Caenorhabditis elegans: one gene and its partners. The protein of the gene in region 1 interacts with the protein of each later gene in a pairwise test. Each region holds a gene or a part of one and is shown on either strand. Other genes may lie near its edges.

Region 1 (3,365 bases):
TATATAAAAATTAGATCTTATTAATAGATCTAATAAAATTAATAGATCTAATATTTGAAAAAAAAAGTAGCCGTAGGGCAATGGCATCTTGTAAGTCTAGGAGGAGACTTTTGAAGGCTTATAAATGAAATATATTCAAATTTGCCTCCTTTCCCTCTTTTTGTACCGCTCACTTTTATTCGGAATTTCACCGAAAAGGTCCTCTGCTTGGGAGAGGAAATGTATAGAACAATTTGCATAACCACTGCCACTTCAATCGGTTCATCGAAGAATTTTGAATGAAAAATGAACTTCAGGAAAAAAAATGACTGTGATTATTATTGCAGAGATTATGCGTTCTATTCGAAAATGTAGGTTAACTTATAAAACAAATCTCATTTAAGGATACCATATTTCAGAAAGCTAGAAGTTTCAGAAACCATTGCTCGCCGAATTGGAATTTTCTTTATATATATTTTTCTCTTTTTTTCAAATGAACCCCACAATTATCTTGTCATTTCGAATATATAGCTTCTTTCTTTTCATGGTTTTAAAGGAATTTCGAAGATTTTAGGGAAAACTTTTTCATTCCCGTCAATAAAGATGAATAAAATAAATTAGGTTTTGAAAAGGGGAGCAGATAACTGGGAAATCAATACACACGGATAATGGACAGAAGACAAAAGTTCGAATCTACTTCTTCTTGGATGCAGCCTCTTCAGCCTCAGCAGCCACACGTTCTGTCTCAACAACCTTCAGGAGAGCCTCGATTTCTTCAGTTGACAATACACGTTGCTGCAGCTCATCCTAAAAAATTAAAATTAAGGACCATCTTCAATTTAAAAAAATGTTATTACTGAAAATAATCTCAGGTGGAAATCACTTACATTAACTTTTTTCATGACTGCAATCTCGATATTTTGTGATCCTGGTGGTACGACCTGAGCCAGCGACTTTACAACCAATTTAAGAGTGGTAGCTTCGTCGACAGTATTTTCCTCGCTGTATTGCTCCTCAAGGTATTCACGCACTGGTTTCTCTCCTCTTCCAGTCGCGTTGGCAACGTACTCGTAGTAAGCTCCAGATGGCTCGGTTTTGAAAAGACGTGGAGTTCCGTCATGATCGAATCCTCCAATGAGCATTGAAATTCCGAATGGGCGACGTCCTGGAGATTGTGTGAAGCGCTGAAAATCAGTAAAAGTTATGCTTGCATAAATAAAATATTTATACCTGCTTCGTGTTTGCAATATATCTGGAGATATAGGCAACGGTAACTGGATCTTCAAGAGTCAACTTGTACGACTGGCACTCGATACGAGCACGATCAACAAGAACACGAGCATCTGCGGACAATCCAGCAAAAGCGAGCATCACATGGTCGTCGATCATATGAATTTTACGGATTGTGCGGTCATCTTGAAGAGCTGGAATTGACTTCTTCTCAACACCGATAACAATGCAATCCTTTCCGCGAACACCGACCTGAAACATTCATAATTATAACTTGAGGTTTTAAAAATAACCGTATTATTTTGAACCATAATTCGGGAAATTTTAGATTTTTAGATAGATAATATCAATCATCTACATTGAATTTTTTGATTTATTTTTAAATATAAAACGATAAATAGATCTAAAATCTTCTTGAATCGGGTGCTTCAATTCTAGCTGATATCATATTCATATGAAAGTGCAACTCATATAATTTTCTGCCAACTGATTTTCATCAGGGGAACCACTCACCGCAGTCGAACCCTTCTTGACAGCTTCCTGGGCATATTCCACTTGGAACAAGTGTCCATCAGGGGAGAAGATAGTGATAGCACGATCGTATCTGTTCATCTGAAAAATTTTAAAATTTGAAATAACTCTGAACCATTTTTAACTTTAAAACGAAAAAATAATTAAAAAATGATTATTTGAAATTGTGCAGTGACAAAAGCGCACAGTTGAAATGAGTGTTACCGTACTTCGCTTACCAACCGAGAACCTGAAACGACACTCCGAAATAACGAATGTGCGTGTTGTTTAGCGACGTTTTGTTTTGAATTTCTGTTCGACTTAAATGTTTTCAATTCAATAATTAGATTTTTCATTTTTCCTTATAATAATCATTTTTAGTAATGCCGTACGCAAATCAACCTAACATCGAGGTTACCGAACTGACAAATGATATAATCAAGTTTGTACTGTGGGACACTGATTTGAGTGTCGCAAATTCACTGAGACGAGTTTTCATGGCAGAAGTGAGTTGTTTCCTGTTTACCATTACTCTTTCTATATTTTTAATTACATTTCAGGTGCCAACCATAGCTATTGATTGGGTTCAAATTGAAACTAACACTTCTGTCCTCCACGACGAATTTATTGCACATCGCATGGGTTTGATTCCGTTCATATCTGATTATCATGTCGAAAAAATGCAATACACCAGAGTAAGATAGGGTTGAATCTTTCACAACTTTTTAAATGTTGGTTTTAGGATTGTGAATGTGCCGAGTTCTGCGATGAGTGTTCGATACCGTTCATTCTGCAGATGAAATGTAAAGATGAAGCTACTTTGGCTGTTACTACCGAGCATCTAATGCCAATGCATAATTTAGACACGGTAAATTTAAAAAAATGCAACTCATTTTTTTTTAATGGAGTGAATTAAATTTCAATAATAATATTAATAACGTTTAAATAAAATCGATGAGCAATCTTATTAGGGTCCGTACTTCACTACATTTGATAAATATTTGAATTGGAATTTTACAGACCGTCCGACCAGCTTGTGGAAAAGCACTACGTGAGCGTGGATCGACCCGTGACGAATTTCACAACAGAGAAGAGATTCTGATTGTAAAATTGCGTAAGGGACAAGAGCTTAACCTAAAAGCCTATGTTAAAAAGGGTTTCGGAAAGGAACATGCAAAATGGAATCCCACCTGTGGAGTTGCATTTGAATATGATCCAGACAATGCTCTCCGACATACAATTTATCCGAATGTTGAGGAATGGCCAAGGTAAGAACTATTATCAGTATTTTGTGAATTTCGTACATTTTTTTTGCAGAAGCGATCATTCATCTTTACCAGAAGACAGCACTGAAAAGGAGGCACCATTCGAGCCGGACAACAAGCCTAACAAGTTCTGGTTCTCTAGTAAGTCACGGTCAGATATTTTGCTTATAATTTTAAATGTTTCAGTCGAAGGAACTGGTGCTCTTCCAGCACAGCGAATCGTGACAATGGGAATCGGAATCTTGAAGAGAAAACTGGAGGAACTAAATATGGCTCTTTCAAATGAACTTCAAGCTCATGCCCAGCAGCAGTAAACTATTTGGATCTCTAATTTATTTACGTTATTATTAACTCTTCTCGTTGATTTTCGTATCTCTCCTG
Region 2 (4,849 bases), on another chromosome or scaffold:
TACTATATGTTCAAACTTTTTTTCCAACTATAAAAGTGAAAAGAGCTATAAAAAATGCTAAAGTACTTAAGGGCACTGAAATCTTTTTAAAGTTGGAGTTGAACATCATCTGAGCCGATGATCTCTGAGATCAATAAATTTAATTCATGTTGATGCTAACAGTTCCAATAAATGAACACCATGAAACAATTTTTATAGATTTTGTGCTCAAATTTGAAGTGAGCAACAGTTTTCTGCGCAGTAAAATTTTCACTGTTGACCCAAAACTATTTTTTAAACAGTTATTATTGATTCTTTTTAATTTATATTTAAGTAATATGCGACTCTACAAATTGTGGCTGGAAATATAGTAGAAAATCTCGAACAGAGCCAAAAATTGCACGGGACTGCAATTTCACAACAAAAACTTTTTACTATGGGACTAACATTTCATTTTAATTTTAGCTCATGTTTCACAACACATTGAAACAGTAAAAATTTGAAATTTTCAAATTATTGAAACCTTGAGAACTATGAGAGGAGCGCTGGAAAAACTTTTATATAGACAGCTGAAATGTTTTTTTTTCAGAATTGAAATACATAAGTTAATAGAAAAGTCAACAAAATATAACAATTTCAAAAACAAATTATTCCATTTCCACTTCCTCTTCGTCATTGAAAATTTCTGATTTTATACTTCCTTCTGGGTTTTCTTCGTTTACCTGATAGTTACACATCATTTCTGAGCCATTTGGGAAAATTAGTCGGGATCTGAAAAAAATTATCGATTTTTATAAAACTCAATGAAATCACAAACTCTTTGAGCTCTCCATCCTCCTTGCGGAGTTGCTCTCGGAGCCATCTTGTGGCATCTTCACTTGCTTCGTTTCCATACATTTTGTTGTGGCGGCCTCTCACACGGTCTCTGAAAAATAAATTTAGTACTGAGCCCTGAGACAGTAAAACTCACAACTTATTGCCCATAACGTCGGTGACCAGCTTCCTCACTCGAAACTTCAGGTCTCGCGATTGTTCTTCGCCGAACCCACCGAGTATGTACTCTGGAAGAGGAACATGGTTTTTTTAATATTAAATTTCCTACTGTTTCAAAGAATTTATAAATTTTTGGTGAAACGTGTGGAAAACTAACCAGCAAACCCTTCGAAAAAGTCCCTAGCGATGGGAATATATGTAGAAGCGTTTTGTGAAGTTGCGTAGCACATCATATGGGGGTCCGCAATGGCAACCTTAAATTTTTGGAGTTTACGCAAGATTCTATAAAGTCTACGCAAGACTCCACTAAGCATACCTTATCGAAAACCGTTCTCGCCAGAGCTCTCACAAGAGTCACCAAGTTAGCCGTCGACCAATTCGACACATCTCCATCCGTCACAACATCGGAAATCATGAACCATTTCCTGCTGGGCAACGTCAAAGCTCTGTCAAACTTCTCGGCTGAGTCAATTGAGAATGCCTTGTTCGTTGTGATCGGTTCCGTGATTTTCTCCGCTTTTCGAGAAATCTTCCTGTGCTGCTTGTTTGCCTGAAAGCGAATTTTTTTTAATTTTCGAAACTTTTGGAAATTGCTCACCATCGCCGTAGTGAAAGCCATTCCAAGTGCCATTTCCTCCATCAAATTCTGATTTTGTGTTCGACACCGCTTGGCGAAATTGAGCCATTCGTAGTAGTCAACATCACGGTCATTTTTGATGAGTTTCTCCAGGTTTTTCTGAAAAATTTGAAGATTTATTTGGCAGGGCTAAGGTCTTGACTACAATGATGTACTGTAAGCAACTGACATCTTACGAGTTAGACTGCAAATTCCGTGGTGGGCCCGTAAAATGTCGGCTGCTAGCAACAGCAGTTTTAAAAGAGTCCACGGGTAATATTTTGTTCCTATAAACAAGCCGACATTTCACGAGTCTCAACATTCAATATTGTTCTAACTGGGCCATTGTGGTGTCGGCTGCTATCAAATTTCAAGCACTTGGATTTCAGCTCCCGACACTTTGCGAGTTTCTTTAACAATACTGTAAAGCACCGACTTCTGCTTCCGTTCGTTCGTTTTAATGTCGGCTGCTAGCAAAAGCAGTTTTAGAGGAGTTCGCGGTGAGATTTTGTTTCTACAAGCAAACCGACATTTCACAAGTCTCGCCATGCAAACTCGTTATTCTAACTAGGCCCGTGCAATGTTGGCTGCTATCAGATTTCAATCGTCTGAACTTCAGCGCCCGACACTATACGAGTTGCTCTAGAAATAATCCCCTCAAAACCTACCTCACAAGTCTTCCGATCCAATGGTTCCCCTTTCGCATAATCGTACAATTCGGAAGCAGCGAATCCAATCGGCAACCACATCCCATGCTTAGAGGCCTGAAGAAGGGGTGCCGAAGATGTTTGAGCAATTGGAGATGAGCTGTACTCTATCGGAAGGGTCTTACGACGAACCATCCCATCTCCATCCAACCAATCACGACAGAACTGCTTGGTGGATCCTTCAGACGTATTGGTCCATTCGACAGTGATACGGTCATTTGTGGTATCTACTTGTCCGAATGCAAAAGCATCGCAGGAAATTGTTAGAAGAATCTCCTCACTTGGATCGAGTACTCCACAATTTGGAGTGCACATCGTATCAACTCTGAGTCTTTTCATATATGTATTGATTCCATAAGCAATACGAAGAGCCGAAGTATTGATTAATTTGATTTTAGATTCTTGGTTTTCATTGTACGGAGCATTGAAGATGATTTTGCTCGGTTGGAAGTCAATTTCTCCTGGTGGAAGGGATTGAGCCATCACGGGGGAAAATTCTCGGGGTCTTTTAGGCTCAAAATCCTGGTAAACCTTATGTTCGACTGGAGCAACTAGAAGATCTTCCGGTTTTTGTTCGCATAGGAGTGGATACGGAGCAGGTCTTTTTGAAGCTCGGCGGGACATCTGAAAATTGAATTTTTTTTAGATTTTGAGCGTTCAAATAAAATTCAAAAAATCAATAGTGATAATCGACGTGGTGTCAGGTACACACATTCGGTTTGATCTACGAAAAATGCGGGAATATTTATTCATAAAAATTGTGACGTAAGCACGCTCTAAACCATGCAAAATCAGATGATATGTCTGCGTCGCTGCTCCCACATTTTTTGAAGGTCAAAGCAAAATGGGACTTTCTGACTAGCACTCGTTTTTTTTAAATTAAAAAAAAGATTTGAATTAAAAAACCGCGAATTTTCAAAATTAGTGAATAACAATATAAAATTCACGAGAAACAAGAAACAACACAAAATAAAAACCGATAAAATCGAAAACGTCACCGCACGGGAAGCATTGTTTGCGCGCAATGCCTCCCGCCGCGAGTTGAGAGACCGAATTAGTGTGAGAGACGCAGGTGGTGGTAAGAGAAATGACGAGAGACGCAGAGAAAAGGAACGTTTCAGGACAACGGACGTTGGTTTACGAGAGGGGGGTTTGGAGCGTTTTTAGTGTTTATTGATTGGTTTTGATTAGAATTTTGAATTTTTCGAGCGTTTGCCCCACAACAAAGAGATGGCAAATATTAAAAAAAAACTGTTAACTGTTAGAGAAAACATCTACTGTTTAAACAACTAAGCATAAAAGAAAAATTAAAATAAAAAATTAATTAATTGAAAATACTGTTTCAAGTTTGTATTTAATATTGATGTAACTTTTTTAAAATGCTGGGGAAAATAAAAATAATTTCACTTTTTCAACTGCAAATCATAGCTCCAAGAACAACTTGACATATTATTGGACTGATAATCTGTTGTTTCGGGAACATTTGTTAACGTTTATTTTTTCAAAGATAATTCCCTATAAATGATTTTTAATGAAAGAAAAACGCGGAAATCCTATAATTTGTTTTGCATTTCGAGAATTGAAATTACAGTTTCAAGTAGACTTAAAATTACTAGATAAATTTGATCATTCAATAATGCTTTTAAGTTTGTCGAAATTTCGAAGAAAAAAAATTTGTGAAACTGCTTAAATTTTCAGAAATTAATATTATAAAACTGACTAGTTTCATTATTGTTCGTGTATTGGAAATATTTGAAAATTAGCTTTTACTGCACTGATTTATATCTCATATAGGTGAGTGAAACTCGGTAGATGTCGGGCGCTCATATTTCGTTAGCGTTAGGCGTTCTTGAGAAACCCCACAAGTAATGTGGAATAATGTGTTGATTATCGGGTTTTTTTTTCACTGTTAAAACGACTGGAAAGGTCGAAGGATCTATCTACTAAAAATAGTTACTCAAGTTTTTCTTTTGAAAACCAGTTGAAACATCTCTGACAAAATTCAGATTTCTTTTCTCAAAAAAGTGATTTGAAATTTATAAAATAATTGATATTTCTAGAACACATTAAACAACTTTATGAAACTGTTTTTGGTGTAAAATCATTTTAAATGAAGGAAAAACGGAAAAATCATATAATTTTTTACGTTTCGAGAATTGAAATTACTGTTTCAAGTAAGAAATAAGATTTCAAGAAAAGTTTACTTATTCAATAGTAATTTAATGATATGACAGTAATTTAATTCAATGAAAAAAATTGAACCATTTTCCTTCAAAAATTATCAAACTTTTCCACAGTTTTCGAACTTAAACTACTGCGAAGCCTAGCGCGCTTGACGCGCTAATCTACCGTTCTAACTTTATAAAATTCATAATCAGTAAAATTTATGAAATAATCAAAATTTTAAAGAATAAGTATTTTAAAATGTTATATTAGATACCTTATCTGCTATTCAAAAGAATGAATTGAAATATAAATAAAACGCTCCCAAATATTTTAAATGCCATCTGCATTTCGATCAATCTAGCAACAGTTTAGGAAGTTGTTTTTTATT
Region 3 (5,265 bases), on another chromosome or scaffold:
CTCTGTTTCTCTTTTTATAGTCATTGTTTCTTTTTGAACCGGTTTCTATTTTTGTAGGATCCCAATGCGTTATTCATGCAATGTTGTGAGCAAAGAGGTCTACCAGATGCATGTCTTCAGAAATGTACATTCAATACTTACACTAAGGAATCGGTAATTTATCAAAACTAATTCAAACATCTTAAATATCAATTTCAGTTAACCCGTATGTACTTCCGTCAAGATTCATGCCCATTAGCTGCTTCTGCCGAAATTCAATTCTGTGCCGCTCAAGGAAGAGATCATCGTGCATGCTGTACAAGAAACGGTGTCACGACTACACTTGCTGGTGACAAATGTTTAACATTCTGTGATCAGAGACCTGGAAACGTGACACTTCTTGACTATTCCTACGTATCTTGCTACGATCGTTTTGAGAATATGAAATCGTGCTTCTGGCATGATGCTGCTGAAAGATCTAGAAAATATTAGAAGAATTTTAGTTTTAAATTTTCAGCCATTGTCTTTGTGTCTGTATAATATATATTTATCGACGCGTTCCCACACGTCATCACCTTCATATTTTAATCCATTCTTTCACAACCAAAAATAAATAAATAAATTACTGAAATACATAAGTAACTACACAAGTATCAGTCTATTTACAAATCAAACGTGTTATAAATTGTTGTAGCTGTTCAACTGACGAAAATTTGAGCGATATCGTCGTGCTCATAGATTCTTTTGGTGAATGTGTCGGTGATCCGTATTCCTGATATGCTTTGAATTCCTACAGTAACCGGGAAAACGTTGAGAGAGAAGTCGACATGTTGTGAAGGAGGAAGTTGTCCGAGAGAGACTCCGGATGGTGAACAGAAAACAAGATGACGATTCGATGGTTGTTCAAGTCGAAGTTGTAGATCAAGTGCTCTTTCTCTGAAAATTAGAAATTACATTCAAATATTTTTAATGAAAATATTATTAACCAGACGAAAAAATTTCGTGATTTTCCACCAAAAATATGGTACCCGATTTTGACACGACAATTTTTTGTTAAATGCGAAAAGGGAGTGCGCCTTTAAAAAGTACTGTAGTTCTTTCGCTTCTTTCGCTGTAACTTTCGTTGCTGTGGAATTTTAATCGATTTTTCAGTTTTTCGCACGGTTTACTAAAATTTATTTTTATTGTTATATTTATTTTTTAATAAATAAATAGATTTTATCAAAATGCTATGTATTCAATAAAAATTTTAGTGCAACTAAATTTTTTTTGTTAGTTATCTTTAGAGGCGCACGCATTTCCGCATTTCACAAACATTTGCCATGTAGAGACCGGTTACGGTATTTTTGTGTCAAAAATCACAAAATTTCGCGTCTGTTAGAATATAATCGACTTACGAGCAATTGTAAAGTCTGCAAGACACTTCAAAAGGTTTCTGAACATCTACGCATGCTGGCGTCTTCTCGACAGAAAGTCGAACATCTCCATATCCAGGTGCCTAAACTCGTTTCAATATGTTCTATCAAAAGAAGTGAAACTTACAATTCTTTGAAGAGCACTAGTTTGGAGCCGTCCCTTCTCTCCCATGCTCGTTCTCCATGACATATCCAACTTTCCAATACTTGTCAAATCTTTATATCCAAGTGTGTTATGAACATCGGCTGGTGTTAGACAGAACAAAAACTGACGAATGTCTTTTGGTTTCAGAAGTTTTCCAACATCGCCAAATTCATCCCTATAAATATTTTTAAAAAATATAAATACTATATATTACGGTCCTAAAAATTCTGAAATGCGTATTGCGCAACATACTTGACACGCAAAATATCTCGTAGCGAAAACTACAGTAATTCTTTAGATGCCTACTGTAGCGCTCATGTCGATTTACGGGCTAGATTTCGAAACGAATTTCTGTTCGAATAGTGACAGCGATAATCCATTTTTCTTCGTTTTTTCGTATTATTTTCTTTAATTTCAATATTTGTTCGATAAATAAATTTTCGGAAATCGACACAAGCGCTATAGTAGACATTTAAAAAGTTACTGTAGTTTTCGCTAAAAGATATTTTGCGCAATAATTATACTCAGAATTTTGTATTCCCGTAATATGTAGTACGTACTCATGAGCGATACTAGTAACATTATAATGTTGACTTGGATCCAACTCGACTTTTTCCAGGAACATATTCGCATTTGATGTATTTTCAATTTGGGCTTCGAGGTAGACATCTTGATTCTGAAAGAAACATAATTTAGACAAAAATAAAATATTTTAAAGTTCTCACCGCATTGTCCTAAAGAAAACGACATTTATACACAGCACTCGGTTGGACGAAACATGCAAAATTGACCAAATAAAATTAATATTTATTACAAAATCTCACACACCTCGGCACTGTAAAACTTTGTTTTCACATCAATCGGTTTCGATACTGGAAATTTGAAAAATTTCCGGAAATACATGTTCTCGCCGTTCGATGTTTTGTAGTTGACCGAGCATATCAGTCTAAAAAAGAACAAAGTTAATGCAAAGGTGTCATGGCAACGGGGGGAAGATTTTGAGAAAATGGAGGAAAACCAGAGAGAGATTAAACAGGAAAACTTACATATGTTGCCCGATTTCTTTCACTTCGTGACTGATGACCTGTCCTTCACATTTTGAAGATTCGATTGTTGCGTCTTGAACGGAACATGGAAGAACAACTCGTTGAGTTGATGTTTGAAGCTCACACTGAAACAAATCTTTTTTAAAAAGGAATATTGATGGGGTCTTTGAAAATTGATAATTGTTACATGTTAAATACCTGGAATTTTGGAAATTCACTTTTTCACAACTAAGAAAGCTGAAACTGCAAATCTGGAGTGAAATTAATTTGCTCATATTACCCAGATGCGCATTTTGTATCGAAAATAGAGTGGCCGGTCCCGACACGACAAATTTTAGTTAATTGCGAAAAGGGAGCGCGCCTTTCAGGAGTACTGTGGTTTCAAAATTTTGTTGCTGTGGAATTTGTATCGATTTTTCAACGTTTTTCTCTATTTGGTGAAATTTGAATTATTTTATCATTAATTTGAGTTTTCGTTTTAATATAAAAAAACTATGAAAATCGATAAATTCCGCAGCAACCAGTTTGAATTTCCAGTGAGCGAAGAAATTTAATTTTTTTTTACTTTTTATCTTAAAAAATGAGTCCATTTACTTACTTTTAGGCTCACACTAGAGACAGTCTTCTCGCTTTCGTTTACAACATTTACATAGAAAGTAAACGTCTCTCCCAGATAGATATTTCTGAAACGAAACGGTTTTTTAAACAGCGCCTTGATCAATCGACTCACTCGAACATTTGTGGTGCAATCAAATATTCGCCGATTGGAAGATCTTGTCGAGATTCTTTCGATATTTCTGAAACTTTTCCAGCGAGAAGTTCACCGAATCCTGTAGGATCGACGGGATCGTGGGAGAAACCATCGACAGGAGCAAATTTTGGACGAGCCAATCTCATAACTAAAATCGAAGCTATGATTGATTAATGATGAGAACTAAAATTACCCCGCAGAGCAAGAAGCTGTTGTGAAGAAGAACTTGCAGGATTGTCAGCCATTGTCCTGATTTATAAATAATTAGCTTTCCGCCGGGATGAAATCACAGTATAACTTTTCGGAATTTCTAACCTTACAAAATATTCTTTCGAGCTGGAATATTTGTGCAACTTTTATTGAGTTTAACAAAATGGAAGTCAGTGGAAAACTACCCAAAATAACGGAAAATAAACACCGAGGAACAGATATTACTAGAAGGATCCCCGGAACCCCTAAGAATTCAAAATCATCGGAACGTAGAAAGCTTGCTTTAAATACATAGCTAACATTTATTAGCCATTTGAGGATCGGGAATAAATTTGTATACAAAACAAGTATAACAACGAACACTAATGGGGGCGGAAAAAAAGGTGACAGAGCAAGTATTTTTTTAAAGAGATTCATTGAAATCGATCAACAGTAACAAGAAAAATGGGATATACTAATGCGGATGCTATCCGTACCGTTCATCTCACAAAACTCGCGAATTGGTCGATGAAAGGGTAGTGATTTATTGCTCATCGGCTTTCGTCTCGTTCTTTGAGGCGGCGTCGAAGTCTCCAACAAGTTCTGAAAAATGAACCTGTTATTTAAAAAAAATCTTTTATGATTTTCCAACCTGGCACATCTTCGTCCTCTCCCTTTCCATCTGGTCCGAGCTTGGTAACGTTGTTGGCAAGTTTCTTGAGGTGGGTGAGGGACTCTGGACCGAGTTGGTTGAGGATTCCTGGGAGCATTTCAGTGATCTCTGCAAAATATGTAAGGTTAAAAACATTCAGCCAATGAGCAATACTTACGCTTGTTATCGGCTGATCCTGTGACAGAGAAGGTATTGGCTGGAACAGAGGTTTGGACTTTTGGGTTGTTGAAGTGGATAACGGTTCCATCGTCCTTAATCATGTTGACCTGAAAAGTTACAGAAATTAAATTAATACTTTAAATCAAAGTTTACCTCCTCGATTCCTGGAATGTTGGTGACAGAGAGTTTCTTCAAGTTGCTTTGAAGCTTCTTGTCATCGGCAGCAGCGGTCTTGTGGATGACCTTCTTCTTTCTGCGTGGAGTTCCCTGAAAGAAATAGGAGAGATAAAATTATAAATTTAAATATTTACCTTTCCTCCAATTCTGACATGCTCCTGTTGAGCTTGGAGCTTCTTGATTCTCTCCGCAATAGCCTTGCTATCCATTTTTGGAAGGATTACCTGAAGACGAAAAATATAATTAAAGACGTGAAAACGTGAGAACAAAAAGGATAAAGCCAGTTAAGAATATTTATTCCTAAAATAACAAAGGGACGGGGAAAATGCGGACAAACGCGAAAAACGGAAATGTAAGTTTATCAATCGAATCAGTTTTAGCCTAAATTCAGGCACGGAAACGAATACACCTACGAGATCGACAGAAAATTATGAAAATGGTGTAAACAATAATGAAATAGAATCTAAAAAGATAGAAAGAAGTCAAAAACAATGAAATTCAGAAAAAATCACCGAAACGGTAGAAAATTTTTTCGCGAGACCCGAACATTCCGTGCGTATGTGCCCCTTGCTTTAAAATTTCTTGATATAGGGGTAAGGGGCACATACGCAGAATCTGGCTTGCTGCCAGTCGTTTTCCTCTCACCCTCTCTGTCTCGTCGTTTCTCATACTCCTTTCTTTCTCTATTTCTCTATATCTCGCTTCATCATTAAAATGTCAAAGCTATTTCG

The links. Proteins that work in one complex are often made in the same cells at the same time.
Region 2: the proteins of pas-4 (region 1) and Y105C5B.19 interact in a two-hybrid assay, tested with the Caenorhabditis elegans proteins (2 studies listed by BioGRID).
Region 3: the proteins of pas-4 (region 1) and C56C10.7 interact in a two-hybrid assay, tested with the Caenorhabditis elegans proteins (3 studies listed by BioGRID).

Annotation. Positions count from the first base shown.
Region 1 is NC_003279.8:8,726,667-8,730,031, forward strand, and holds pas-4 (Proteasome subunit alpha type-7), read right to left. Parts: upstream 1,822-3,365; coding exon 1,723-1,821; intron 1,462-1,722; coding exon 1,210-1,461; intron 1,164-1,209; coding exon 867-1,163; intron 787-866; coding exon 673-786; 3' UTR 552-672; downstream 1-551. Other genes in the region: rpb-3 (DNA-directed RNA polymerase RpoA/D/Rpb3-type domain-containing protein), read left to right, coding at 2,103-2,225, 2,280-2,414, 2,462-2,587, 2,740-2,987, 3,037-3,125, 3,171-3,298. UniProt on the Caenorhabditis elegans protein: The proteasome is a multicatalytic proteinase complex which is characterized by its ability to cleave peptides with Arg, Phe, Tyr, Leu, and Glu adjacent to the leaving group at neutral or slightly basic pH.
Region 2 is NC_003282.8:15,981,052-15,985,900, forward strand, and holds Y105C5B.19 (Major sperm protein), read right to left. Parts: upstream 2,920-4,849; coding exon 2,257-2,919; intron 1,709-2,256; coding exon 1,571-1,708; intron 1,523-1,570; coding exon 1,289-1,522; intron 1,227-1,288; coding exon 1,130-1,226; exon of another isoform or gene 1,126-1,129; intron 1,041-1,125; coding exon 950-1,040; intron 905-949; coding exon 797-904; intron 751-796; coding exon 627-750; 3' UTR 524-626; downstream 1-523.
Region 3 is NC_003280.10:6,583,898-6,589,162, forward strand, and holds C56C10.7 (putative trafficking protein particle complex subunit 13 homolog), read right to left. Parts: upstream 3,673-5,265; 5' UTR 3,582-3,672; coding exon 3,530-3,581; intron 3,485-3,529; coding exon 3,316-3,484; intron 3,269-3,315; coding exon 3,184-3,268; intron 2,859-3,183; exon of another isoform or gene 2,784-2,858; intron 2,711-2,783; coding exon 2,586-2,710; intron 2,486-2,585; coding exon 2,368-2,485; intron 2,318-2,367; exon of another isoform or gene 2,274-2,317; coding exon 2,265-2,273; intron 2,216-2,264; coding exon 2,100-2,215; intron 1,715-2,099; coding exon 1,522-1,714; intron 1,478-1,521; coding exon 1,377-1,477; intron 916-1,376; coding exon 678-915; 3' UTR 524-677; downstream 1-523. Other genes in the region: dbd-7 (DB domain-containing protein), read left to right, coding at 58-153, 199-471; icd-1 (Transcription factor BTF3 homolog), read right to left, coding at 4,070-4,128, 4,178-4,306, 4,356-4,464, 4,511-4,624, 4,669-4,743.